Ovis aries: one gene and its partner. The protein of the gene in region 1 purifies or fractionates together with the protein of each later gene. This does not show direct contact. Links are inferred from orthologs where the notes say so. Each region holds a gene or a part of one and is shown in the gene's direction. Other genes may lie near its edges.

The links. The genes of interacting proteins can lie anywhere in the genome.
Region 2: the proteins of CCND1 (region 1) and cyclin-dependent kinase inhibitor 2A purify together in Homo sapiens (affinity purification with western blotting; 3 studies listed by BioGRID and IntAct, with this or other methods). This does not show direct contact. The link is inferred for Ovis aries from reciprocal best matches to the Homo sapiens genes CCND1 and CDKN2A.

What each region holds. Positions count from the first base shown.
Region 1 is NC_056074.1:43,280,877-43,284,930, forward strand, and holds the start of CCND1 (G1/S-specific cyclin-D1), read left to right. Parts: upstream 1-1,248; 5' UTR 1,249-1,408; coding exon 1,409-1,606; intron 1,607-3,192; coding exon 3,193-3,408; intron 3,409-3,914; coding exon 3,915-4,054. UniProt on the Homo sapiens protein: Regulatory component of the cyclin D1-CDK4 (DC) complex that phosphorylates and inhibits members of the retinoblastoma (RB) protein family including RB1 and regulates the cell-cycle during G(1)/S transition.
Region 2 is NC_056055.1:90,755,890-90,759,856, reverse strand, and holds the start of cyclin-dependent kinase inhibitor 2A, read left to right. Parts: upstream 1-1,156; 5' UTR 1,157-1,485; coding exon 1,486-1,611; intron 1,612-3,967. UniProt on the Homo sapiens protein: Acts as a negative regulator of the proliferation of normal cells by interacting strongly with CDK4 and CDK6. This inhibits their ability to interact with cyclins D and to phosphorylate the retinoblastoma protein.

The sequences.
Region 1 (4,054 bases):
AGTTTGCGATTAATATTGGGGACTCGCGTATAGCCACGAATATATATAGGTTTTGTTTAAAATCATCAGATCAATACACCTATTTCTTTAACTTGTAATTGTTCTGATTGTTGCCAGACCCCCGCCAACCGCCTCAGGCTCTCGAATGCAGCCCCCGGGCAAATTCTAAAGGTGAAGAGAGGTCCACACCCCCAACAAAGCCAATTAGGAAGTTTCCGGTGGTCTTCTCCCAGGCGGGGAGGCGACCAATATTTCCAGCGATTTAGCTTAATTTTTAATTAAAAAAACGAGACAGGACAGAGACCACTGTTTTGCAGCCTTCCTTTCAGAGTGTTTTTCTAGCTGTTAAATTGCCGGCACAGGGCGGGGGCGGGGGGGAAGTGTTGGGGGCCCCCCGCAAGAATGGACTAGCTAAGGTAGGAAGACAGTGCGCAGATCCCCCAGGCGAAGAGGACAGGGCGAAGGAAATGCTGGCCACCATCTTGGGCTGCTGCTGGAATTTTCGGGCATTTATTTTATTTTATTTTTTGAGCGAGCGCGTGTTAGGCTGAAAGCCCTTTAACTTTGGGGGTTACCCCTCCGGCATTTGCACAGACCCCCCTCGGTGCGGGAATGAAACCTCCACCGGGGTTGTCGGCTCTGCCCTGAGTCCCTGAATGGTAAATGGTTCCTGAAATTTACACGTGTTAATGAAAATGAAAGAAGACGTAGACGCTAAGATCCCTTGGCTGCCTCCGCCCGTGGGTGCCCTCGTGGCGTTCTCGGAAATGCGCCCATTCTCCCGGCTCAGAGTGTCACCGAACCCCAGCGTCCCCCTCCACACGGTCTCCCCCAGCTGCGTGTGGCCTGCCCGCCCTCCTAGTTGTCCCCCTCTGCAGAGCCACCGTCACCCAACCCCCCAAATCCTGCGGGACCCGCTCGGGGAGGACAGACCCCCCCCCCAACCCCCGCTCCTGCACCCCTCTTCCTCGGCGGGGAGAAAGGCAGCCTTAGGACGGTTTGCATTTCTATGAAAACCCGGCTTCGGGGGCAACACCGCGCGGTGCAGGCGCGGCGCCTCCGGGATGGCTTTTGGGCTCTGCCCCTCGCCGCTCCCCGACGCTCGGCGCCCGCGCCCCCTCCCCCTGCGCCCGGCCCCCCTCCTTCCCGCTCCCATTCTCTGCCCGGCTTTGATCTCTGCTTAACAACAGTAACGTCACACGGACTACAGGGGAGTTTTGTTGGAAGTTGCAAAGTCCTAGAGCCTCCAGAGGGCTGTCGGCGCAGTAGCAGCGAGCAGCAGCGTCCGCGCGCTCCGGCGAGGGGCAGACGAGCTCGAGGGAGCGCGGGGCAGCAGGAGCCCGAGTCGAGAGCCGACCCAGCCCCGGACCCATCGCCGCCCCCCGGCCACCTAGCCGAGCCCCCAACCATGGCACACCAGCTCCTGTGCTGCGAGATGGAAACCATTCGCCGGGCGTACCCCGATGCCAACCTCCTCAACGACCGAGTGCTGCGGGCCATGCTCAAGGCGGAGGAGACCTGCGCGCCCTCGGTGTCCTACTTCAAGTGTGTGCAGAAGGAGATCCTGCCGTCCATGCGGAAGATCGTGGCCACCTGGATGCTGGAGGTGCGGGGCTCCGGGCGGCTCTCTTAGCACTTTCCTGCGACTTGTTGCGCAAACCCACTTTTCTTTGCCACTCATCACCCTCCCTTCTCTCCCACCCAAACTTTGAAGTTTGCCAGAGTGTTGCTAGGAATCGTAGTTCCAAAATATATAGATATTCAGGGTATTTTTTTGAACAAGGAGGGAGTGGGGGTGGGGTCATTAGATAATTCCTTTCGTGGGTGGGTGGGGGCGGCGGCGGTCGAGGAGGGGTACCCTAGGGGAAAGCCACTGCCCGGGCACCCCAGTTGGCTTCAGGGTGCGGGCCCGCAGGCTGGGCGTCCTTTGTGGCCCCCGCCGGGACCTCCACCGCGCAGCCCCGCTGCGCCTCCTCTTGCGGCCGCGCGGCTGCTGAGCCGCCAGCTCCAGGGGGAGGGGGCATAGATTTGATTTTTAAATTAATATCCATGGACACGTATGCAAGGGCCGCTCGTGCCAGTATTATGCGCCATCTTTGTTCTTTTATTGCAAAGCAAAAGTGTTTATTAATAATTGGGGGCAGGGTGGGGGCGGGGAGCGGCCGGCCAGGCGCTTGGGGCCGCCGCGAGGGGCCGCGCCGCCACCGGGACCCAGCGGGAGGGGCGCGGGGACAGAGCTCGGGTAGTTGTGGGGGGACCCCTCTCGGGAAAGGGGGCCCCTTTGTTCAAGCAGTGGGTCCCGGGGCGTCCCGCAAGGCCAGCTTGGGCCAGAGAGCACGCCGGGCTGCAAGGTCGCGTGGCCCCCAAGACGCTAGGAATGGACCCTCATCTGCCGGGATCTCAGCTTGGGGGACCTGTCTGGAGCGAGCTGGGGGCCAGGGGCACGTTTTCAGGCCTTCAGAGGGCTCCCCGGGGCACCGCAAGTATTTTAAAATAATTTTTGAAAGTGCGGCGTGGTGCCCTTGCGAGAAGGAAACGGCGCCCGCGCCCAGGGGGAAGGGGGGCCCCCGAGTTTGAATTCCTGGGGCTCTCCCCTGAGCCCGCAACGAGCTCCCGACTCCCGGCCTGGGTAAAGGACAGTCTGAGGGTCATTTTCAGGGCATTTTTATGTACCCACTTAATTTTTTTATATTTTTAAATATTTTTTGAAAAGATGACGTCTGGGGAAATGCGGCGCGGCGGCCTGGGACGCCACCTTTGTGTCTCGCAGGCGCTGCGAGCGCGGCGCCCAGCCCCGCGGCCCTCCCCGCGGCCCTGCGCCCCATTTTTTGCCGACCCCAGGTCTGGCGGCTCCCGAAGCACCCACGCGGGCCGGGGTCCCTGGGACCCACAGCCCGCGCGCGACACACGCCGCCCAGCTGTGCCCGCTCCCGCCCCCACTGTGCCAGCCTAGCTGGGACTTTCCCTTTCAGTTTCGGGGTGGGTGAGTATTGGGGACTCCCGGGGAAGAGGGGCGCGGCGGCGGCGGCTTCTGCTGCCCCTTGCCCCGACCCTCCGCGCGCTCAGAGACCTCGCAGTCCAGCCGCCCTGGCGCGAGCCGGGTCGGGGGGCGCGAGGTCTCCGCAGAGGGGCCGGGCGCTCCCGGCGGCGGCGGCGGCGGCGGCGGTCACGGCCCCCGGTGCCCCCCGGCAGGTCTGCGAGGAGCAGAAGTGCGAGGAGGAGGTCTTCCCGCTGGCCATGAACTACCTGGACCGCTTCCTGTCGCTGGAGCCCGTGAAAAAGAGCCGCCTGCAGCTGCTGGGGGCCACCTGCATGTTCGTGGCCTCGAAGATGAAGGAGACCATCCCCCTGACGGCCGAGAAGCTGTGCGTCTACACTGACAACTCCATCCGGCCCGACGAGCTGCTGGTAACCCTGGGACCCCCGCCACGGCCCCTGAACGCCCAGTTAGCCGCGGGACCCCGGGGTGGGGGAGGCGCGGGGGTCCCCGGCGGGCCGCCGAGAGACCCTCGCCCCCAAGGAAGGCGGCCGCACGGGCGGGGCCCCGCGCCGCCCCGCAGCCGCGCCGCCGCCCCCCTCGCTTTCCCTCTGACTCCCACCACCTCTGCGCCCCCAGCGTTGCGAAAAGTGGGGGGCGCGCGCCCTCCAGCGGCGGCGGCGGGGCGGCGCCCGCGCGGTTGACCCGGCTCCGCGTTCCAGGTGTGGGCGGGCCCCTGGTCTCCGCCGGCCCAGGGTGGGCTGAGTTTAGGGTAGGACCCTTGGCGAGCAGCACCGTCCCTGCACGGAATGTGGGGTCGCGCGCTCTCCCCCTCACTTCCCGGACCCTCCAGCGACCCCCATCCCCTCTCTCCGACCCCTGCTCCACTGGGGTCCGCGCCTGCGCCTCTCGACACGCGTTTCCCCCGGGTCCGCAGCACATGGAGCTGGTCCTGGTGAACAAACTCAAGTGGAACCTGGCGGCCATGACCCCGCACGACTTCATCGAGCACTTCCTCTCCAAAATGCCGGTGGCCGAGGAGAACAAGCAGATCATCCGCAAACACGCGCAGACCTT
Region 2 (3,967 bases), on another chromosome or scaffold:
TTCAAGAGGAGTCAAGTAGGAATTGAAATATAACTTTTAAAACAGAGCTGGGTTATCTAGCAGACAGATTAAACATTAACTTTTCATTAAATATGTCGGTCACTGGAAGATGTCCATCATTGTTTCAGTGATTAAGGTTTTCTTGCCTGCCCTTTTATATGTAATATTGATAATTCTACCTAAACCATTTCCTTCTCTGTCTCCTAGATTGCAAGAAAATCTTCAAAATGGATGTTAAGAGCTAACAGGCATGAGCTTAGGATGTGTGATACTGTTCTAAATGCTTATGTGTGTATCAATTCATTTAAAACTCAAAACAGTCCTAGGAAGTAGGGACACCTCTTATTCCCCCCTCCATTTTATAACTAAGAAAAGTGTAAGGTTTTTCTAACAGGAAGGAAAGGTGGACAGAAGTGGCACCAAGACAGTGTGTGAGCCTGCTTTCTGAATCATCTCCGAATGCAGCCCTGTCCCTAGAGCAATGAGCATGTTTTCTGGTGTAGGAGAAATTATTGAGAACAGAGCCTACTAAGCCCAAGGATACCCTTGCCACTTTCCTATCTGCGTACAGGTAGAAATCTCCACCATCCCTTTTAAATTGACCTCATCTGCTCGGAGCCAGCCCGTATACTGGGCACTAGTACCAGGCATTGTGCAAGCCTAGGAAACGCTCTCCCCCGACATCCGTTTTACATGTGTGTGGAGGGAGGGAGGCACAGCCTGGCGCGTGAGCCAGTTCTCCAGAAGGGACGTTTGAGCTAGAATTTCTGGCATAATCGAGCCAGCGCTCGAAAACCTGGTGCTGAGCGTTGGAGGGGGAGTGTATCCTCTCCAAGAAGGAAAGCCTCATGGTGGAATGGCTGATACCTATCCTGGGCGCTCGGGGCCAGGACAAGCTGGCTGTTTCTTCTGATTAAAAGAGGAAGCAATAACTTTGCCTATGACTCCAAACACACTGGTTCGAACTTGGCAGTTAGGAATCCTATGCAGTTGTCTCACGCCACTCAGGGTGTATACGCGAGGAATTTTCACTTGGCTGGAGTGAACTCGCTCGGAGCCGCGCGTGCGCCTCTGATGGGGGTGGGGGCGCGCTGCGCGCGGACGCGGGGCGGGGGGCGGGGAGGAGGTCCCAGGGCGCCCTCCTTTCGCGGTCCCGTCGCGCTACCGGAGCGGACAGCTTCCGGCCGGTGCCTCGGGTCGCGTGGGCGGCAGACCTGTGACCGAGGAGGCCCGGCGGGGGCTACTTCATAGACGTCTTGTTCGTTAGGAGCAAAGGGCGCCTCCTGGAAGAGCGCGTGGAGGGCGCTCCCCGGGTGGAAAGACTCCTCGGGAGGAGTCGAGGGGCCGAGTCTGGGGGCCGCTTCCGCCAGCCCCGTAGGAGGAAAGAGGAGGGGCGGGCTGCTCAGGAGCAGCCTGGGCGGGCCGCCCGCGCTCGACGCAGGCGGGAGGAAGGGAGGGAGCGAGGGGCGAGCTTTGGGGAGCAGCATGGAGACCTCGGCTGACTTGCTGGCCGCCGCCGCCGCGCGGGGCCGGGCTGACGAGGTACGGGCACTGCTCGAGGCTGGAGCGTTGGCCAACGCGCCGAACCGTTACGGTCGAAGCGCGATTCAGGTGGGTCAGCAGGTCTGCCGCGGAAAGGTGGGCGGCTGGGTGGGTGGGTGGATGGCGAGAGGCTTTGGAGGACGAGGTCCGCCAGTGAGTCGGAACCAGGTAAGCGTTTCTTGGTAAAGGGGAGACTTTTCAGACCGAGTTCGGGATCGGAGACCTCTCGGCGACTCTCAGGGGGCTCAGGACGGCCGCGGAGCTGGCTGAGAAGGCGCGTGGGGTTCAGATCTCTAAAACGGTGTGAAGATCTAGAAGGGAGAACCTACGTGTGTTAATATAGACCGATATGCGAAATTGACGAACGTCTGGAGTACGAGTATAAAGACAGTAAGACATGCTGGACCACTTACTCCCGAACTTATAAAATTGTGAATGGAGCTGATCGACTTCTTTGTTGGGGGGGGAGGGGCGGTGAGAGGGAGATTTCAGTGGAAATCTACTGCTGTGTAAGTTGGAATAAAGGTCGATTGAAATTATTCAGAAGCAACCATATATCGTGTTTATTATTTTTTTTTAACCGAGTAAGGAACATATATGCTTGTTTAGGAAATAGACATACATGAAAAAAAAAATTAGTGCAATTATGCCTGAAATAATGCTGCCAATTTAGTTACCACTTGAGTGTCTCTTACCTTTTGGGGTATTTTAAACTTACTTGGTATACATTAATTTCCTGGGAAGTTTTCAGTTCCTCATAGTTTAAAAAATGTCATTTCTCCTCTCCCCACTCCAGTTTTGTATGTGTGAGGATGAGTTGTGAGTTCGTTTTTCTGTGTGTGTGTGTGTGTGTGTGTGTGTGTGTGTTTTGCCTTCACTAACTTCCTAAATCTGGGGCTAAAAATAAATTCTTCCTGGCAGTCACTCCAGTTTTATTCCAGGTTTCGACAACGATTTCTGATTCTGAAAAATAATATTTATATGAAATGTACACTGCAAAAACTCCAGCATAACAAGACAAAGGAAAAGTAACTCAACCTGGAACTTAACAAGTGATTTCACAAGCGAATCGTCCTTTCCTCAAACTATGCTACATAGAACAGATATATTTTATATACTTTTAGATACAAAAATAAAAATAAAATATCCTCAAATCTGAGATTATTTGGGATTTGAAATGTGGAGAGATTTGGAGATTAAAAGGTTGAATGGTTGTAGAAGAGAAGCATGAGTTCTTTTTTTAAAAAATGCATGCATGATTCATAATTGGATATCTCTAAAGTTTTGCCAGCAGTTTGCAGACTGGGTGTTACAGCCTTCTAGTTCTGAAAGATGTTATATTAGACTTTATTGTTTAAATACAAAAAGAAAGATAATTAATTTTAAATTATTTTTAAATAGGATAAGGGCATCGACAAAAGGGATATGATTTTAGTTTTGAACCCTAACCAAATTTGTGTTTAAAAATACTTAGTTTATAGAAAAATTTTAATGACTAAATTAAATTTATATCTTCAGTTTGACTTAAGTACCCTAGAAATATTCATTTGAATGATTTTCTTTTTGCTTTGGATTGCTACTATGATTTAAATATTATGTTACTTTTCATACTTTAATACTGTAGCATATAATAATACCTTTAACCAATTTAATGACTAAGACCAAGGACTTCATTTATCCAACCCATGTAATATATTTTCACCTGCATTATATACAAGCATGGAAGGAGACATACATATATATATATGAGCTCTGGCACTTATAGTAGAGTTTCCAAAAGATTATGGTGTCCTTGGGTGTGGCCCCTTTGTTTTGGAAATTAATTCATAATCCATGAGAAATCCAATAGTGTAAATTTCCCCAGTTTTTATTTTAAAAAATTCTTTCTTCTAATGCACTGTTAGTTTTCCTTTTTGTAGCTGCAAGTTGGTTCACTTAAATTTTCTCTGTGGTTTTTTTTTTTTTTTTAATTAAATCAGTTTCACTTTCTCTAGGATAGAACTCAACAAGCATAGTATAACTTGTTAAGATTCCTTGGTTTGAACAAATTAATTCAAGTTTAATACAGAACTCAACTAAAAATAAATAATTCCTCAATATAGTGTAGCTAATGTAACCAAATAATGGTTACCCTAAAAAAGAATGTTCTATCACCTCCACCCAATGTATAACACTCAAATTGCAAAGTTGCTGTGATTGTGAACAATATTTCAAAATTCCTCTTTGGTAATGCTCTTGTATCATCAAAGATTATTTAGGAACCAAATGAAGTGAGCACCTCCTCTTTAATGAAGTCTGAGTGTGATCTTGGAAGGTGTCTTCCTATTTCTGCTATAACAAATTACCACAAATTTAGTATCAACATAAATTTATTATCTTATGGTTCTGTAAATCAGAATTCTAAAATGGGTCCACAAGGTTGCAT